2 linked regions of the Stegostoma tigrinum genome follow. The protein of the gene in region 1 interacts with the protein of each later gene in a biochemical or structural test. Links are inferred from orthologs where the notes say so. Each region holds a gene or a part of one and is shown on either strand. Other genes may lie near its edges.

The links.
Region 2: the proteins of growth arrest and DNA damage-inducible protein GADD45 alpha-like (region 1) and elongation factor 1-alpha 1 form a complex in vitro, tested with the Homo sapiens proteins (2 studies listed by BioGRID). The link is inferred for Stegostoma tigrinum from reciprocal best matches to the Homo sapiens genes GADD45A and EEF1A1.

What each region holds. Positions count from the first base shown.
Region 1 is NC_081361.1:51,753,688-51,764,217, forward strand, and holds growth arrest and DNA damage-inducible protein GADD45 alpha-like, read left to right. Parts: upstream 1-6,904; 5' UTR 6,905-7,036; coding exon 7,037-7,077; intron 7,078-7,378; coding exon 7,379-7,480; intron 7,481-7,572; coding exon 7,573-7,786; intron 7,787-7,874; exon of another isoform or gene 7,875-8,159; intron 8,160-8,218; coding exon 8,219-8,329; 3' UTR 8,330-8,986; downstream 8,987-10,530. UniProt on the Homo sapiens protein: In T-cells, functions as a regulator of p38 MAPKs by inhibiting p88 phosphorylation and activity.
Region 2 is NC_081357.1:98,947,158-98,957,959, forward strand, and holds the start of elongation factor 1-alpha 1, read left to right. Parts: upstream 1-6,233; 5' UTR 6,234-6,438; intron 6,439-7,302; 5' UTR 7,303-7,340; coding exon 7,341-7,484; intron 7,485-9,572; exon of another isoform or gene 9,573-9,645; coding exon of another isoform or gene 9,646-9,672; intron 9,673-10,802. UniProt on the Homo sapiens protein: Translation elongation factor that catalyzes the GTP-dependent binding of aminoacyl-tRNA (aa-tRNA) to the A-site of ribosomes during the elongation phase of protein synthesis.

The sequences.
Region 1 (10,530 bases):
TTGCCCTGGAGTATTTATAACAACACCTATAAAATTCAGAATTCCCCTTAACATGTATTCCTTTAGATATTCCTTTAATACTGCAAACTGAGTGATATAGCAATAATTTATCTGGAACAAAAATAGTTTACTGGAGTAATATGAATTTCAGGAAATTGATCATGGATCCAGGTCAGGAAAATTAAGCCATGACTGGCATACAGGACGTAATACAGCAATGGGCAGCCTTTAAAGAGGAGATTATCAGGTTCATTCGAGGTACATAGGGAGAGCAATCGAAGCCAGACAATGAAGCATTTATAGAGTAAAATGAAACAATTAAAAAAGGGCATATGATAGATATCAACTTGATATTAGAAAATAGATGAAAGCAGTCCAGAGAAAATTCACTAGGCTGACACCGGGTATGGAGGCATCATCTTACGAGGAGAGGTTGAGAAGGTCGGGCATGTGCTCATTAGAATTTAGAAGACTGAGATGTGAATTTATTGAAACATACAGCATTCTTAGGGAACTTGAAAGGGTAGATGTGGAAAGGTTGTTGCCCATTGTCAGAGAGTTTTGGACCAAACAGCATAATCTCAAAATAAGGGGTCACACATTTAGGGCAAAGGAAAAATTTCTTCCCAAAGGGTAGTGAATCTGTGAAATTATTTATGGCAGAAGGCAGGACAGGCTGGTTTATTAAATATAGTCAAGGCTGAGATAGAGAGATTTTTAATCAGTAAGGGAATCAAGTGTTATGGGGGAAAGGCAAGAAAGTGGAGCTGAGGATTATCAGATCAGCCATGTTCTCATTGAATAGCACAGCAGTTCTCCCCTCCACCCACTGCATCCCAAAATCAGCCCAGCTCGTCCCTGCCTCCCTCGCCTGTTCTTCCTCTCTCCTATCCCCTCCTCCCACTTCAAGGCACACCTCCATTCCCTACCTCCTAACCTCATTCCGCCCCCTTGAACTGTCCGCCCTCCCCGGACTGACCTATCCTCTCCCTACCTCCCCACCTATACTCACCACTACAGGCTCCATCCCTACCCCTTTAACTTGTCTGTTTCTTCTCCACCTATCTTCTCCTCTCTCCCTATTTATTTAAGAGCCCTCTCCCCATCCCCCTTTTCTGATGAAGGGTCTAGGCCTGAAATGTCAGCTTTTGTGCTCCTAAGATGCTGCTTGGCCTGCTGTGTTCATCCAGCTCCACATTTTGTTACCTCGGATTCTCCACCATCTGCAGTTCCCATTATCTCATCTCAATAGGCCAAATGGCCTACTTTAGCTCCCATATCTCACAGTCTTAGTAAATAGCAGAATCATGCAAAGAAGCTAATAGAAATGAAAAATGAATTCATAGAGGCAAGGATCAGTAAAAAAGATTATCAACTAACATAATAAGGAATCCAAGGTTGCCTGGCATATTAATGTGAAAAGGTTATCAAAGGAGTAGTGAAATTGATCGGAGAGCAAAGTAGTGATCTATTGTGGAAGCAGAAGGCAAGATTAGGAGATTAAATGGCACTTGGTACTAATGTTCACTAACGAGGAGGAGTTAGCTAAAGTTATTGTAAATGAAGAGGTTGCTGGGGTATCAGATGAGATAACCTAAATAAAAGGGAGAAATTAGGAAGGCTTATTTAAAATAGACAAGTTACCTGATCGGGATGAAATCAGTAAGAGTAGAAATTGCAAAGTCTCTGGCCACAAGCCTCTTTTGATAGAGTTGAGTCAAAAGACATAAGGATTGAAACTGTTAAAACCTTGTTTATACAAAGGGAAGCGGGTAATCCTGACAGTTACAATTCAGTATACTGTCAGAGGCAAATAAATTTTGAGAAACAATAATCCAGTAGATATTTATCAGCCACTTGGGCAAACAAGGAGAAATTTAAACAAAAAAAACGTAATTTTTAAAGGCCAGTTGTGTTTGATTCACTTGATTAAGCTATGTGATTCAGTAACTGAGAGGATTGTTGAAAGCAGTGCAATTGTTGTCATGCGACTCAACTTTCAAGAGGGAAAATATCACATACCAGGCTAGTTAACAAAATTGAAGCTAGTGGATTAAAAGGGGAAATATCAGTATAGATACAAAATTGGCCCTAACAGGGCTGTCTAACCTGATTAATATTTTGTTTAAGAGAGTAGACCCAAAATAGAAGAGCTCCTGTAGCACAGTGGTAATGCCCCAACCTCTGGGCCTGAAGGTCTATATTCAGTCCCTACCAGTTTCAAATGTGTGTCACAGATGAGCAAGTTGATTGAATGTTATCGAGATATGGAATAGGAAACAGAAGGTAATCATAGAATCACAGAATCTCTAGCGTGTGGTAGCAAGCCATTCAGCCCATCAAAGTCACACCACCCTCTAAAGAACATCTCATCCAAACTCTGCCCACCACCCTATCCCTGTAAGATAACACAGCAGGAAAGCAGCATCTCAGGAGCACAAAAGCTGACATTTCCGGCCTAGGCCCTTCATCAGAAAAGGGGGATGGGGTGAGGGTTCTGGAATAAGTAGGGAACAAGGGGGAGCAGACTGAAGATAGATAGAGGAGAGGATAGGTGCAGAGGAGAGTACGGGTGGGGAGGTAGGGAGGGGACAGGTCAGTCCGGGGAGGACGGACAGGTCAACGGGGCGAGATGAGGTTAGTAGGTAGGAAATGGAGGTGTGGCTTGAGATGGGAGGAGGTTATAGGTGAGAGGAAGAACAGGTTAGGCAGGCGGAGATGAGCTGGGCTGGTTTTAGGATGCAGTGGGGGGAGGGGAGATTTTTGAAGCTGGTGAAATCCACATTGATACCATTGGGCTGCAGGGTTCCCTAGTGGAAAATGAGTTGCTGTTTCTGCAACCTACAGGTGGCATCATTATGGCACTGCAGGAGGCCCAGGATGGACATGTCGTCTAAGGAATGGGAAGGGGAGCTGAAATGGTTCGCGACTGGGAGGTGCAGTTGTTTTCTGCGAACCGAGCGTAGGTGTTCTGCAAAGCGGTCCCCAAGCCTCCGCTTGGTTTCCCCAATGTAGAGGAAGCCACACCGGGTACAGTGGAGACAATGTACCACATTGGCAGATGTGCAGGTGAACCTCTGCTTGATATGGAAAGTCATCTTGGGGCCTGGGATGGGATTGAGGGAGGTGGTGTGGGTGCAGGTGTAGCACTTCCTGTGGTTGCAGGGGAAAATGCCAGGTGTGGTGGGATTGGAGGGGAGTGTGGAGCGGACAAGGGAGTTGCGGAGAGAGTGGTCTCTCCAGAGGGCAGCCAAGGGTGGGGTGGGAAAAATGCCTTTGGTGGTGGGGTCGGATTGTAGATGGCGGAAGTGTCAGAGGATGATGCGTTGTATGCGGAAGTTGGTGAGGTGGTATGTGAGGACTAGGGGGATTCTCTTTGGGTGGTTATTACGAGGGCAGGGTGTGAGAGACGAGGTGCGGGATATGCAGGAGACACGGTCGAGGGCGTTCTCGAGCACTGCAGGGGTAAGTAGAGGCCTTTGAAGAACGAGGACATCTGGGATGAGCGGGAGTGAAATGCCTCATCCTGGGAGCAGATGCGGCGAAGGCGAAGGAATGGGGAACAGGGGATGGAATTTTTGCAGGGAAGTGGGTGGGAGGAGGTGTATTCCAGGTAGCTATGGGAGTCAGTGGGCTTGAAATGGACATCAATTTGTAGGTGGTTGCCATCCCTGTAACCCTGCATTTCCCATGGCTAATCCACCCAGTCTGAAAATCCATGGACACGATCAGCAAATTAGCATGGCCAATCCACCTAAAATAAATGGCGGTATTTTAGATTGAAATGAGGTATACAGTACTTTTCCAAAGATTCTGTATTTAAGGTCACTATTTTGTTAATATTTATTAGTGACTTTGATTTAAAGTTATAGCATGTAACTTTGAAATTTGAAAATGTCACAAAACTTAGAAGAATTATAAATGTTAAGATAATAGTAGAATTCAATGGGATAGACTTGTGACAGATACAATTCAATGCAGAAAGCAATGAGATGATACATTATGGTCGAAAAAATGAGAAGAGAGATGCTAAATAGCACAATTAAATGGATATGTTAGCAGAGAGAGACCCGGAAACTAATTCGATTGGCTGGAAGGTCTGTAATCAAAGGGTACAGACTTAGGATGATTGACAAAAATTCGGAGGCAACATGAGGAAACATTTCTTTGCACAATTGATTTGGATTTGAATTACATTGATGTTAGAGTGATGGATACAGAGTCAATAGTGGACTGACAAAGGAGCAGCATACTGAAAATTTGTAATTGAAAATAAGCCTGTTGGGCCATAACTTGTTGTCGTGAAACTTCTGACTTTGTCCACCCCAGTCCACATGGGCACCTGCCCATCGTGTCTCAATTTACATTGCTAAAACAGATCATTTGTTCATTAATTGCACTGCTATTAATGAGACATTCATGAGTGCAGTTTGGCTGCTGCAATACCCGACATTGCGCCTAGGTTGCGCTCCAAAATGCTTTGGCACATTCTGATTTGATGGAAAAGATGAAACCTGAATGCATGCTCCTTTGTAAAATGAACTGATTAGGCTTGTACTTATTACTTTACGTGGAGTAGAATTGATAATGAAATTTTAATATATTGCAATAATTGAATATGCATTATTTGTAACTGATATTTGTATTACAGCTCTACACCTGTACTGAGATGATTATGCAGACTTGAAATATATATGCTCACATTCTTGTCAACAGTTACATATGTTCTTAAAATATGCTCTTGAAACAGCAGTGATACAGGCAGGAACATGTTTAATTTCCACATTACTGACCCTGGTGGTCAGTCTGCTTGATGATAATGACACTGAGTGTTCCAATCAGGGCACAACGAGTGAAGAGAGATAATGGGAACTGCAGATGCTGGAGAATCCAAGATAATAAAGTGTGAAGCTGGATGAACACAGCAGGCCAAGCAGCATCTCAGGAGCACAAAAGCTGACGTTTCGGGCCGAGACCCTTCATCAGAGAGGGGGATGGGGTGAGGGTTCTGGAATAAATAGGGAGAGAGGGGGAGGTGGATCGAAGATTGAGAAAAGAAGATAGGTGGAGAGGAGAGTATAGGTGGGTAGGTAGGGAGGGGATAAGTCAGTCCAGGGAAGACGGACAGGTCAAGGAGGTGGGATGAGGTTAATTGGTAGGAAACAGAGGTGCGGCTTGGGGTGGGAGGAAGGGATGGGTGAGAGGAAGAACAGGTTAGGGAGGCAGAGACAGGCTGGACTGGTTTTGGGATGCAGTAGGGGGAGGGGATGAGCTGCGCTGGTTGTGTGATGCAGTGAGGGGAGGGGACGAGCTGGGCTGGTTTTGGGATGCAGTGGGGCAGGGGGAGATTTTGAAGCTGATGAAGTCCACATTGATACCATTGGGCTGCAAGGTTCCCAAGCGGAATATGAGTTGCTGTTCCTGCAACCTTCGGGTGGCATCATTGTGGCACTGCAGGAGGCCCATGATGGACATGTCATCTAAAGAATGAGAGGGGGAGTTGAAATGGTTAGCGACTGGGAGGTGCAGTTGTTTACTGTGAACCGAGCGGAGGTCCCCAAGCCTCCGCTTGGTTTCCCCAATGTAGAGGAAGCCACACCGGGTACAATGGATACAGTATACCACATTGGCAGATGTGCAGGTGAACCTCTGCTTAATATGGAAAGTCATCTTAGGGCCTGGGATAGGGGTGAGGGAGGAGGTGTGGGGGCAAGTGTAGCATTTCCTGCGGTTGCAGGGGAAGGTGCTGGGTGTGGTGGGGTTGGAGGGCAGTGTGGAGCTAACAAGGGAGTCACGGAGAGAGTGGTCTCTCCAGAAAGCAGACAAGGGTGGGGATGGAAAAATGTCTTGGGTGGTGGTGTCAGATTGTAGATGGCGGAGGTGTCGGAGGATGATGCGTCGTATACGGAGGTTGGTGGGGTGGTGTGTGAGAACGAGGGGGATCCTCTTTGGGCGGTTGTGGCAGGGGCGGGGTGTGAGGGATGTGTTGCGGGAAATGCGGGAGACGTGGTCAAGGGCGTTCTCGACCACTGTGGGGGGAAAGTTGCGGCTCTTGAAGAACTTGGACGTCTGGGATGTGCGGGAGTGGAATGCCTCATCGTGAGAGCAGATGCGGCGGAGGCGGAGGAATTGGGAATAGGGGATGGAATTTTTGCAGGAGGGTGGGTGGGAGGAGGTGTATCCTAGGTAGCTGTGGGAGTCAGTGGGCTTGAAATGGACATCAGTTACAAGCTGATTGCCTGAGATGGAGACGACGAGTGAAGCTTGTGTTTACTTGGTGTCTTTCACAACCTTAGAATGTCCCAAGTGTTTTACAGTCAACTGACTACATTTAAAGCGTAGGAAATTCCAAGATATTGAACCAGCAATGATGAAGGAATGACTATCAACGCGCAATTACAGATGACGTGATTTGGAACTGAATGTGGAAGTGTTGGCGTTCCCTTAACATTGTTGCCCTTGTCCTTGGTGATAGACGTTGCAGTGGAGGTTTGTTTACTGTATCTACACATAGTGGACTTTTTTTTAAATATCACGTTTGACGTTAAACAAAGAATTAAGGCTTTTGCTTCTATGAATAATTTCGTCGGGCAATCCTACAATTTCCAAACATGGATACCGAAATGAGGAATGAGCATTGATTGATGTGTCGACCGCCCCAGTGAGCTGCGAGACAGACACGCTTCGGTATCCGCTCCAACCCTCCCCCCCACCACAAAACCCACCTCCCCCAGGGCTGACCCTTTGTCCCCAGCGGGTCAGGGTGAAAGCAAAGTCCTTATTAGCATAAAGGACAACGACCAATGGCGGAGCGCCCATGCAAATAAGCGAGCACTGGGTTGGTTGGCTTTCCCTTGTTACATCCGGCCCCCTGGCTGTAACTCCGCCTTCAACGCCGCGAGCCTTCTCAGTGCCGGAGCTGACAGCAGCCGCTGCATTGAGCTGGATCGAGCCCACTAGCGCACGCAAGGCACTGTCAATTGCAGGCAGAGAAAGCTGTAGCAACCTGAGAAACTCATTCACACCGACAAACAGAATGACTTTTGAAGAACTTACAGGCGATCAGAAAGCAGACAGGTAAAAGCAATGCTATAAAGCGCACCGATTGCACTTTAAATAAACCCTATCTTTTTTTTAAAAAGTGAAACAGTGTTTGATTGAGCGTGCGGTGCAGATTCTTGGTTTGCGTTGTGCGTCGGTTAAAAGAAGTTTAATCTTCCTGTCATAGTAGAATTTTTTGTGAGATGAAGCACATACATTTGCATTCATTTGACACAACCATAACGCAGAATTGTTAATCTCTGGAGTTAGATCCTGTTGTTGTTATTGATGAAGGAATTAATACTGTTTTTTTTAAAACTTCTGATGCGGGTGGTAGGATGGACGTAGTGAGAAAAGCTTTGGAAGAAGTTTTGAGCTCCGCGCTGGCGCAAGGCTGCATCACAGTTGGAGTGTACGAAGCAGCAAAACTCCTCAACGCGTAAGTATCCACCAAGAACCAAAGTTTTCACATTTTTACTTTTTAAAAAATCAGTTTAAAAACGGACGGATTTTATTTATACTTTTCGACAGGGACCCTGACAACGTTGTTTTATGCTTGCTTGCGACGGATGAAGGGGATGATCTGGATGTGGCTTTACAAATTCATTTTACTCTGATCCAAGCTTTTTGCTGCGAAAACGATATTAACATAATGAGAGTGAACAACATGCACCGTCTAGCAGAGATCTTGGGCGGGATTGATGGGGCAGGCGAACCCAAAGATCTCCATTGCATATTGATCACTGTAAGTATTATACTAGTCACACCAGGAACGAATCCAATAACCGAGGCGTAAAACCGTCATCAGTTTTAAACAATGACAGAAATCTTACCTTTGTGAGGATTTAAATAAAGTTATTTGTAGACAGTATGAAACGAGTTACAGACGGTGACTGAAATCAGTCTAGGTTATTGCAAGTTGACAATTGGACCCCTAGAAGCAGACGAAACTGTATATACCGATACTCAACTGATTGTTGTGATTGGATGTAAATGTGGTCGTGGTTGACGTAATGTCTTTTTGCACCAATAGATGGCATAAGTTAGAGAATAGCTAACATCATGATTTGAGATTACAAGTACAGTATTTTGGAAAGAAGGGGGCGGTGAGAATTAAATGATGCACTTTTTAAAATATTTTGTTCCATAAGGATGATTTTATTTGTCTTCAATTCAGAGTCAAGTTGCACCATGGAAAGACGCAGCGTTGAGCAAAGTCAGCTGTTTCTGCAAAGAAAGTCGTTACTTGGACCAGTGGGTTCCAATCATCAACCTGCCCGAGCGGTGATCAATTTTAAATCACAGACCCTGGATTTAAGATTCGCTTTTGTTTCTCAGGAATTGCTCAGGAGATATTCTCAGTAGCTGTCCGAAAACTTGGCGCTGGAAAATTAGAGTTTTTATTTGTTGCTGAGAGCAGGCTAGACTGGACTTTCGATTGTCTGTAATTATTTTCTCTGAACGCTGGACTATGACTCAACTTGAGTTGTGCCTGGAAATAGTGACAATGACTAAGCAGACGGGAACCGAAGCAAGGGTTGGAACTGATTTCATAGCTGAGAGTAATAGAACTGCCGGAAGAATTGCGGGAATTACAGCTTCCATTTCGGGAACTAGAACTTTAAAAAAAAACTTGTGTTTTGACAGACTCATCGAATGGATAACAGAAGTGTTTGAATTTTGTTGTGAAAATGCAGTATTGCTGACTAATTACACGATGTCACGGAGCTGAGGGGAAGTTTAAAAAACCAAAACCGAATAAGTTAAGGATTTTTACTGTACTTACTTACAAAATTGTACTTTATTACAAAAACCTTTTTTGCTGTTTTGTCTAAATATGAAATGACAAGTTATTTCACAATTTATATAAATTGACGATTATTTATATTTGTGAAAGAATTGACTATAATTTCTAAATCCATTAATAAATATTATTACTTTTATTCACTAGCTATTTAATGTTCTAGTCTGTTATAGATAATTTTAATTTGTATATTACTGAATTGTTTTAATTGGAAACAGTTTGCAATACAATACAATGGAATTGCCAATGGACTGATTTCAGCCTGTTTAATTGGGGTATATTGTCAGTATTTTAAGTCACATTTTATTCCTTCTGTCAGTTTGTACAGATGAGCAGTGTTAAAATTGCACCAGTGCTCTTGACAGGTGAGTTCAGAACTCAGCCGAACTTGTGATCAAAACAAAATGCAGTAACATATCAGTGCAGTAGTTTATTATTTAGTGACTATTTTGGCAATTTGATATCCTACTACACATATACAACACACAACATCCAACAGCTATACATCCTGAATATTTCCTACTATTGTCAAGATTGCAAATAATTGTAACAGCAATTGCATGTTCAACTTAGTCTATGAGAGTTAACTGACTGTGCTCAATTGTAGCAACTCCTCTTCCAGTTTTACAAAGAACCACTGGAATAGAGATGGAAAAAAAAAATCAGCCTGTGTCTTCATTTTGATCATTGAGTAACCACCACTGGAATTGCTTGTGTCTAGGTCAGTTGAGGATAAAAATATGCTTAGTGTTCAAATGGCATTTTTGGAGAGGAAAGTACAATTCACATTTCAGATTAATTATCTTTCATCAGAACCCTGACAAAAGATCACCAATCTGAACAAATGTATCTATGGCTTTCCATTGAAACTGCATGGCCAGAATGTTTCTAGGATTTTCCAATGCAGAATTTTCCAACTATTATTCCCTTCTTCATGCCCACTTAAATAACTGTACCACGGTTCTCAGAGACAGGCTGGACACCGCAACAAGGGATTCAAATTTATGCATGCTTAGCACTATTCAAAAGGTGGCTTGCACAGTCAAAAGCCAGTCAGCACCTCTTCAAGGGGGAAGCAGAGCAGACAGTATACTCAAGGGCGTTTAACCTAACACTAAAGAATTTGGCAAATAAGGTGCATAGGAGGAGATGGCAGTGCAACCAGATAGCCAGTGCTGTCAATATTGTCAAACAATGCATCCCAAAGATCTAGATGAGATGTAGGAAAAGGTTTAATGATCTCATGAGTGCTCAAGGTCAATGAATGTTTCATCACATGCCATATCCTTAGAATAGAATGATGAGATTCAGATATTGCTCAACTCTAATACATCAATCACCGAGCAGCAATTTGTTTCTCAACTAGAACTCATACCTTCCTTTACAGCTTCAACTCAGTCTCACACACTTAACATTCTGTAATCTTCACATCCAGTTCTCAGCTCTTGACACTGTCCATAATTCAACTATGAAATCACATGCACTGATAGATATCTAATTAACCTGTTTAGGGACGTTACACACAACTCTCTTGCAGGTCAAGGTGGCTCACAATTGTGAAAACAGCACCATCTGCATGTCCTTAGCCCAGTTTAAATAGTGGGAATCCAAGAGAACCACTTTGCACCAAAATCATTGCTGAAAGGTTCAGAATCAACAAATGCAACCAGCATAGTGATAAATCT
Region 2 (10,802 bases), on another chromosome or scaffold:
CTGACAATCAGCCCACATATATTAAATTGCAACATATAAGTGGACTGGAATGTATAGGAGGCACCCACTTCTCCAGCCCCCAAAATCAGATTTTTTGCATGTATTCAGCATATTGTAAACTCACGTTCACCACCTCCCCAAACAATTTTCTAGGTACGCTTTGGTCATCAGTCTCAATTTTTCACCACACAAGGGAAAGTTTTACTCACTGGTCCTTGGCAATATAAGAGTAGGAGTAGGAAGAGATCACTTGCCTCCTCAAGTCTGCTCTGCCATCTAAATAAATCATGGTTAATTTCCTCAATACCACTATCCCCAGATCCCTTGATATCTTTTATATACATAGAAATATATTATATAAATTTATGACTGCTATTCCAAATATATTAAATGAATTGCCTCCATAGCTTTCACAGGTGGGCACGGGGGAGGAGGTGGGGGAAGAATTCCAGAGATTTGCTTCTCTTTGAGTAAAATAAAAACTCCTCATCTCAGTCTTGAACAGCCTACTCCTTATTCAAGATTCCTCATTCAGGGGAAATAGTTTTCCTACATCTGACCTTTTGAGCCATATAAAAATTTTAAATGAATGAGATCACCTCATTATTATAAATGCTAGAGATTACAGGCAATCTTAATCTCTCCTTTCAGGTGAATCCCACCATCTGAAATTGGTCTGGTCAACCTTTGTTGCATTCTATGGCAAAAGTAATCTTCCTAGTTAAGGACCCCATACTGTACTCACTGTGCCGTGCAGTATCACCCAAGACACTACTCAATTGCAGCAGGACATTTTTACTCTTGTGCTCAAGTCCTCTTGCAATAAAAATCAACAGATAATTTGCATTCCTAATTTCTTACTGCACCTGCAAATTGAGTTTTAGTGGCTTCTGAACAAGGATGCCCAAGTGTCTCTGGACATTCACACTTACCAATTTCACACTATTTAAAAATTAATCTCCATTACTGTTTATCATTTCAAAGTGGATAACTTTGGGCAAGAACATGGGAGAAGGAAAGATATAATCAATTAGTGTCTACATTCCATTGAAGCCTCTTTGCATCCCATGCAGTGTTCACATTCTCATCTAGTTGTACATCACTAGCAAACTTGGAGATATTACAATTGATCCCCACAACCAAAGAATTGCTGCAATCTGTGAATAACTGAGGTCAAAGCAATGATCCTTGCAGTACCCACTAGTCACAGTGCACTGACCTGAGAACGACGAATACTTTCTTCCTCTTTGATTCTCTGTGAAGCAGTTTTCAATCCTTGCCAGCATATTAGCCCTGATCCCAATTCCCATGATTTTGGTCACTAAGCTCTTGAGAGATCCATTCAAATATATGAATTAGAAGCAAAAGTAAGCTACAGCGCCTTAAGCATAGTCTGCCATTTGGTAATGGGATCACTAATGTGATTACTCTACATTCCCTCATAATCTTTCACCCTTTTGTTTTTCAAGAATCTGTCTATCTCTGCCTTAAAATAATTCAAGGACTCTGTGTTTCCACTACCTTTTGATGAACAAAGTTCCAAAGTCTCTCAGTTCTTTGTAAAAACAAAAATTCTCCCCATCTCCATCTTAAATGGGTGATCCCTTGTTTTGTAACAGTGACTCTTGTTCTAAATTCTCCCACAAGAGGAAATTAAACGACCGTATTATTTAAATGAAAAAAACTGCAGAAAGCTGAAACACCGAAGGATGTGGGGTAATTACTTGTGCATGTGACACAGAAAGCTAGCAGATAGATAATCGGGAAGGCTCATGGAATGTTGTCTTTTTATTTCAAGGGATTGCAGTAGAAGAGTAGAGTTATAGAGTCACATAAGTCTTGCTGCAACAGTACAAGATGCTGATGATACCACATCTGGAGTGTTGTGAACAGGTCTTGTTTCCTTTTTTAAGCAAAGACATCATTTCATTGGAGGCATTTCAGAGAAGGTTCACTTGGATTAGCTCCAATATGGAGGGATTGTCTTCTGAGCAAAGGCTAAACAGGTGGGGACTCTATTCACTGAATTTTAGAAGAATGAGGGATTGTCTCATTGAAACATGAAGGATTCCGTAAAGGTTTAACTGGGTAAGAATTGAGAGGATGTTTCCCTTCATGGGAGGGTTTAGGACCAAAGGGCATAGTCTTGGAATAAAGGGTTATCAATTTACGACCGAGGATGAAGAGGAAGTTCTTTTCTCAGCTTGTGATTCTCTGGAATTCTTTACCAAAGTTCTGTTTTCATGCCATCATGATTGCCTTTATTTCAGTTTAAAATACCGGACTTGAAGTTATACTTTATCTTCTCAAGCTGAAAGCAAAATTCAATCGTACAATGGTTGTTGCTCACTAAGGATGCCATCATTAATAGGTCATTCATTTATCCTATCTCATTGTACAATACCAGATCTAGAATAGCCTGACATCTGGTTGGCTCCTCAGTGTACTATCTTCAGAAATTAGCTGAGAAAAAGTCCATAAACTTCTCATCTAAATTGCTTTTGCCTATCCAATATTTCCAGTCCATTTGCAGATTAAAATACCTGACATTATTGCTGTACTTTTACATTCTCATTATTTCTCCTGTACATACTTCATCCTGTTTTGTGGTTACTATTAGGGGACCTGTACGTCATTCCCATCATCTTATCCATGCCGATCAAGTTTCCCAAACTAAACTAGTCCCACTTGCCTGCATTCGGTCCATATCCCTCTAAACCTTTCCTATTCACGTGCCTGTCCAACTACTTCTTAAATATTGTAACTGTACCTGCATTCACCACTTCCTCTGGTAATTTGTTCCACATAAAAACCATCCTCTGTGAAAAAGTTGCCCCTCTGGTCCCTTTTAAGTCTTTGTCCTCTCACCTTAAAAATATGCCCACTAGTTTTGAACTCCCTCACAGTCAGAAGGGTCTGTTTCCATGTTGTATGTTCTCGATGACTTGACTTCATCATTTAACATTTCCTACTTCTACAATTACTTCTCCATGTGCTATTCTAAAAACTCAGGACATGCCTCTTTGTTGTGCTAATACCATCATCAATTAACACAGCTACACCTCCCCCTTTTCCTTGCTTTCTATCCTTAAATGTCTTGTGATCTTCAATATTCAGGTCCTAACCTACCTCAGTCCACAGTCATCTCTCTCTGTAATGGCTATTGTATTTCACTTACTTAATTATACTTGTGCTCGGTTTTCTTTTGCTATGTGCATTCAGATACTGAGCCTTTAGTTATTATTTTTCTAATCTTTCGAACAAACAGTGGATTTACTCATGGATTAGTATTCTCTGTTCCTTTCCATCATGGTCTGTTTATCATTTTCCATATTAACACCATTGTGTCTTCCTTCCCATGCTTTTTGGGAAGATGCAGTAAATCAAATTTGATCCTTTGTCCTCATCATTTAATTTAAAACCCTGTTCCTGGTTATTTGGCTTAACACAGAACTGGACCTTGTTGAATGCTTTATGAAAATCCAAATACACCACATCTACTAGTTCCCCTTTGTCTATTCTGCTAGTTCCATTCACATTGACAAACATAACTTTCCTTATATAAATCCCTTTTGCCATTGCCTAAACTTACCATTATTTTCAAATATGCAGTTAGCACATCCTTTATAATTCATGATTGTATTTCCTGATGACAGATATCAGAATAACAAAGCTACAGTTCCCTGTTATCTTCGTTCTTAAATAGTGGAGGTATATTTCCTACTTTCTAATCTGTACAGATTGTTTCACAGTCTTAAAAAACTTGAGATACGGTCATTTAAGGGTCATTACTTTTATAACACTCTTTTCAACATTGAGATGTAGATCATCAGGTTCAGATGCTACATTTTTAGTAATGCTAATTTATTTTGGTTTCCCATTTTCACTAATTCAGGTTCTGTCATTTCCAGGTGACTGTTTATATTTTCCTCCGTGAATACAAGATACAAACTATTTGTAAATTTTCTGTCATTTCCTTATTCTTTATTATAAACTGTACTGACTCTGCCCTGTAATGGGCCCACATTTGTCTTTATTAGTCTTTTCCTCTTTGGATACATGTACAGAAGGTTTTATGATTTTTTTTTTTGCTCTTTTACCTTTGTATTGTATTTTCCCTTCATCAGTTTCTTGGCCTTGCTTTGCTGAGTTCTAAGATATTCCCAATCCTTACGCTTTCTATTTTTTTGGCAACTTTATAAGTCTCTCTTTGAGATCTCCTAGAACTTTTTCGCGTTAGCCATGGTTGAATCATTTTTGTGGTTAGGTTTTTATGCCTCAAAGGAACGTATATTTGCTGTAAATAATTTATTAATTCTTTAAAGGCTAGCCAGTCCTTGTCTTTGGTTATAACCTTGACTGTCTGTCTTTAATTTGTCTGTCATTGCTAGAGGGATGGAGTTTAAAAACAGGGAGGCTATGCTGCAGCTGTATAGGGTCCTGGTGAGGCCACACCTGGAGTACTGTGCAGTTTTGGTCTCCTTACTTGAGAAGAGATATACTAGCACTGGAGGGGGTGCAGAGGAGATTCACTTGGTTGATTCCAGAGTTGAGAGGGTTGGATTATGAGGAGAGACTGAGTAGGCTGGGAATATATGCATTGGACTTCAGAAGAACGAGGGGAGATCTTATAGAAACATACAAGACTGTGAAGGGAATAGATAAGTAGAGGCAGGGAGATTGTTTCCACTAGCAGGTAAAACTAGGACTAAGGATCATTGCCTCAAAATGAAGGGAAGCAGACGTATGACTGAGGTTAGGAGGCACTTCTTCACCCAAAGGCTTGTGGATTTGTGGAATCCCCTGCCCAGTGAAGTGGTTCAAGCTACCTCACTGAATGTTTTTAAGGCAAGGCTAAATAAATTTTTGAACAGTAAAGGAATTGAGGGTTATGGTAAGCGGGCGGGTAATTGGAGCTGAGTTTTGAAAAGATCAGCCATGATCTTATTGAATGGCGGGGCAGGCTCAAGGGACCAGATGGCATAGTCCTGCTCCTAGTTCTTATGTAATGTACTTTCTCAGTTTACCATAGCTAACTTGTCCCTCATTCAGAAATGCACGTTGATTCGGTCACCAGTAGAGTACAATGACCTATATAGTTCTATCATAACCAGTCTGTTCTTATGGTTGAACCTCAAACTTGCCAAAAGTTCTGGTAATTCATCCCTGAATGCTCCTTTACAAGATTATTAATCAGTCTTTTCTCATTGCACAAAAATGGATCTAAAGTAATCTAATCTTTACTTGGTTCCTTGAGAAGACTATTTTCAGGAATTCCTTCTCATAGCAATGGTGCCAATCAGTTTTCTCAAGTCTATATGTAGACTGAAGTTCTCTGTGATTACGCTATCATTGTTACATGCATCTCCAGTTTTATTAGCACTACTGTTTGGTGGCCTCTAAACAACTTGCACCAGGTTTCGCTGCCCGTCCCTGTTTCTTAGCTCCATCTGAACGGATTCTAGATATTGATCTTCCAATCTAAGATCTTCTCTCACCAATATCTCCTGAACAGATGAAAGGGATTGAGCTGGCACTATGGGCTATTTGGTGAAGATGTGGGGGAGTAGCACAGTTGGTGTTTGGTTGCTGGTGTTTCAAAACGGTTACTGTCACCCACAAACACGTGTGGTTCACTTTTAAACTTGGTGTATAAGTTAACTCTTGAAATATCCCTTCAAAATTTGGAGCGGGGGGGTGTACATATGCACTAATACACATGGCACTTCACCCCTTTACCCCCCACCTCAACCTGCCACACTGCTCTCAGTTGATGCAAATTTGGTACATTTGTTAGTGTGGCAAAGCTCACAGTGAGAGGCCAATGGCGACAAACTCTCACATCTCATCAAACAGAACAGGTTATGTTTTACGTGAGATAACATAAGATGCCAGCAGACTGGGGGAAACAACCCTTTTAAGCGATTGGCAAAAGGTGAGTTTTTCTTTGGGGCTGCGGTGGAGGATTACCTGAGGGAAAAGTTTTCAGAGCCGCTGGAAGGTTAGCGGGGGGCGTCGGGTCATTGGGTGGGACAGGGAGGGTGGCTCCCCGTTGAGGCAGCACAGACACATCGGGCTGAATGGCCTCCTGCGCTGTGTGGGGGCGATGATGTTCTCTCGGTCTGACCCAAACCCCGCCGTCGAATCGTTCAGGCAGCGGGCGAGCTCGAGCTCCAGTCACGAGGGGGCGGAGTCGGCGCACGAGGGATGGGCACGGATTGTGTGTGTTGACCGCGGGGGGTCGCAATTGAAGTCAATCGGCGGACCCCCTTCTTCCCAACGCCCACCCGCTGGCGCCTATTAATAGCCGTGACGCAGCCGCTTTCCGCCTGTTTGCCGAGCGTGTGTGGAGCCGGTAGGGTGTAGGGTGGCCTTTTGGCTCGACGCATTGACCTATTGCGGGCGGGCGGTAACCACCTCCACTCCTCCATCGAGAAGGTGAAGCGGTGAAAGAAACGGGATGGGTGGTGGGTGGGAGTGCTGCTGTTGGAGGAGATGGTGTGACCGGGTTGGAGGGATTCGAAGCTGTGGGCCAGCTTCGTTAGCCGCGTCCCCTTTAGAAGGCGGCGGCGGCTACTAAACGGGTTTCGGTTCGAATTGGCTAATTTCGGGGTGAATCGAGAGACAGAGAGAGAGAGGGAGGGAGAGGGGGGGACCCCTAACGACCCCAAATATTCTAATCTTCTATTACCGGAGCAGTCTTTTCTCATCCCCCCCCCCCACCTGGCGTTCGCTTTTCTGTGGCATCGTTAGTATAAAATTGGAGGGGGGGGGGGTGCAGCCGACAAGTGGGCGGCGGCGGGGCTTTTTATTTTTTTTGAAGGTTTTTTTTCTTATACCGTTTTACCGCAAACGTTGGTGATCGTTCGGCGAAGGTTACGGGTGGAGCTTGTCCCTGACCCTGTCCGGAGGAACCGTGTGTTGGGGGTGGGGGCGGTTCGGTGCCCGTTGGTGAGAAAATGGCCGGTGTGTCCGTGCGGTTATTGTCAGTCAAAATGGAGGAGAGCAACATCAACTGGAATGGGGGCGTTGGAGAGGGAAAGGCAGCAGGTATCTTTATCACTGTAACAATTCGGAGAAATGACGGAGATGCGCTTAAAAAAAAGGAGGGAAAGCGGCTGAAGATCGAGAGAGGCGCTCTTTCTCCCCCTCCCCCCCCTTACAGGAGGAGATGGCCACTGTCTTTAGAGTAAATCCACCGACTCCTGTAATTTGGAGATTTGGTATGGGGAGAAGGCGTCAGTATTGCGTTTTTTTTTTGGCTTCCTAACTTTTTTCTCCCAATTTAACTCCCATCCCTAGTTCCTTAAGGCTGAGGCAACAACCCACTGGCAAAAGCAATGGGTAAGGAAAAGATCCACATCAACATTGTTGTCATTGGCCATGTGGATTCTGGCAAGTCCACCACCACTGGCCATTTGATCTACAAATGTGGTGGCATTGACAAGAGAACCATTGAGAAGTTTGAGAAGGAAGCTGCTGAGGTGAGAAAGCAAGAGGGTCAACTTTATAATGAAATGAGAGGCTGGATGAACACAGCAGGCCCAGCAGCATCTCAGGAGCACAAAAGCTGACGTTTCGGGCCTAGACCCTTCTTCAGAGAGGGGGATGGGGTGAGGGTTCTGGAATAAATAGGGAGAGAGGGGGAGGTGGACTGAAGATGGAGAGAAAATAAGATAGGTAGGGAGGGGATAGGTCAGTCCAGGGAAGACGGACAGGTCAAGGAGGTGGGATGAGGTTGGTAGGTAGGAGATGGAGGTGCGGCTTGGGGTGGGAGGAAGTGATGGGTGAGAGGAAGAACAGGTTAGGGAGGCAGATACAGGTTGGACTGGTTTTGGGATGCAATGGGTGGAGGGGAAGAGCTGGGCTGGTTGTGTAGTGCAGTGGGGGGAGGGGACGAACGGCTGGTTTTGGGATGCGGTGGGGGAAGGGGAGATTTTGAAGCTGATGAAGTCCACATTGATACCATTGGGCTGCAGGGTTCCCAAGAGGAATATGATTTGCTGTTCCTGCAACCTTTGGGTGGCATCATTGTGGCACTGCAGGAGGCCCGTGATGGACATGTCATCTAAAGAATGGGAGGGGGAGTGGAAATGGTTTGCGACTGGGAGGTGCAGTTGTTTATTGCAAACCGAGCAGAGGTGTTCTGCAAAGTGGTCCCCAAGCCTCCGCTTGGTTTCCCCAATGTAGAGGAAGCCACACCGGGTACAGTGGATGCAGTATACCACATTGGCAGATGTGCAGGTGAACCTCTGCCTAGAATACACCTCCTCCCACCCACCCTCCTGCAAAAATTCCATCCCCTATTCCCAATTCCTCCGCCGCATCTGCTCCCACGATGAGGCATTCCACTCCCGCACATCCCAGATGTCCAAGTTCTTCAAGGACTGCAACTTCCCCCCCACAGTGGTCGAGAACGCCCTTGACCGCATTTCCTGCAACACATGCCTCACACCCCGCCCCCGCCACAACCGCCCAAAGAGGATCTCCCTCGTTCTCACACACCACCCCACCAACCTCCGGATACAATGCATCATCCTCCGACACTTCCGCCATCTACAATCCGACCCCACCACCCAAGACATTTTTCCATCCCCACCCCTGTCTGCTTTCCGGAGAGACCACTCTCTCCGTGACTCCCTTGTTCGCTCCACGCTGCCCTCCAACCCCACCACACGCGGCACCTTCCCCTGCAACCGCAGGAAATGCAACACTTGCCCCCACACCACCTCTCTCACCCCTATCCCAGGCCCCAAGATGACTTTCCACATTAAGCAGAGGTTCACCTGCACATCTGCCAATGTGGTATACTGCATCCACTGTACCCGGTGTGGCATCCTCTACATTGGGGAAACCAAGTGGAGGTTTGGGGACCACTTTGCTGAACACCTGAATCATATTCCTCTTGGGAACCCTGCAGCCCAATGGTATCAATGTGGACTTCATCAGCTTCAAAATCTCCCCTTCCCTCACCGCATCCCAAAACCAGCCCAGTTCGTCCCTTCCCCCCACTGCACCACACAACCAGCCCAGCTCTTCCCCTCCACCCACTGCATCCCAAAACCAGTCCAACCTGTCTTTGCCTCCCTAACCTGTTCTTCCTCTCACCCATCTCTTCCTCCCACCCCAAGCCGCACCTCCATCTCCTACCTACCAACCTCATCCCACCTCCTTGACCTGTCCGTCTTCCCTGGACTGACCTATCCCCTCCCTACTATCTTCTTTTCTCTCCATCTTCGGTCCACCTCCCCCTCTCTCCCTATTTATTCCAGAACCCTCCCCCCATCCCCCTCTCTGATGAAGGGCCTAAGCCCGAAACGTCAGCTTTTGTGCTCCTGAGATGCTGCTGGGCCTGCTGTGTTCATCCAGCCTCACATTTTATTATCTTGGATTCTCCAGCATCTGCAGTTCCCATTATCACGCGTCAACTTTATGGCTGTTGATGTATTGTTGCAAAGTTACTTTGTACGATTCTATAATTAAAGATGTGATGAGCATGACAGTATTGTAAATACCATGTAGGATACTGAACAAACTTGCATTATAATGAAACTGTCTCTTTAACCCTCCCAATTCAGTTGTATTCATCACTGCAACTAGACCCGAAGTTACTATTCTGTTTTTGTGGATCCAAGCTCTTGAAAAATGAGAATGAAACTACCAAAGTCAATGGTAGGCTAAATTCTGAAGACAATTCAAGGTGTTGCATCTGTAGAATCAGCAGGATTTGCACTTGCCTATCTCCTATTTTTTTTCTCCATTTGTTTTTGCTAAGCTTTATTATACTGAAAGCTACTAATGTACCATTTGTGGTACAAAGTTCTTCTGGCTTTTGGGTGGAAAACAAAAATCCTTTGAGTACACAAGTTCTAATCCAGTCGCCCATTAGTAGATAGTGTTTGATTTGAGTATGATCCAAATTAAATTCTCTTTGCTTGTAAAATTGAAAGTAGAATGAAATGTATGTCCCATTTTGTTCTGGCCTAGCAAGAGCTAGAGTGCTCAAAGGGTTAAATTGCTTATTGGTCTTGCATGATTGGATCATTGACTTACCAGGATCCCTACATAAGCATGTTACTGTGGTTGTCTTGTTTGCATTTTCATTTTCCAGAGAAGCATCTGAGTAGAAAACCTGGAGTAGATTATGCTTCAAGGATTTGGATTCTCAGTAGCTATGTTGGGTGGGTGGTTGACTGATGTCATCTGTGCCCTTTCAGATTACTTTCATTTTTTTTAAAAAAGAAAACTATTGCAAGCAAATATGAAAACAAAAGCTACCCTATTTGGACAGAAGAGAAACATCAAGCATTATTTTGCCTAAAAAGTTGCTTATGTGTACCTAATTGGGTTAGATTAGATTAGATTCCCTACAGTGTGGAAACAGGCCCTTTGGCCCAACAAGTCCACACTGCCCTTTGGAGCATCCCACCCAGACCCATCCCCCTATAACCCACATGCATAGAGCCTTGAGACTCGTCCCTGTCACACCTGATCTCCTCAGGTCTAATAGTTATGGTATACTGTCAGAGGAAATGCGTTGGGTGTATAGAAACTTTTAAAATAACCAATTGACAGCTGGTCAAAAAACTACCAACAGTTTGAATTATTTTTGCCAAGGCTGTAATTGCAGCGTTGTCTTATCACTTTGTTAGCCTGTGATTGATTTAGAGTTCATAGGTATACTGCTTGAAATATATTTGAAATTAAGATCTTCGTAGAATTTGTGTTTAAGTCAGGTACATAACATTAGTATAAATTGCAAACAAAAACAAGTGTTACAGTGTAGGAGACCATTCAATTTG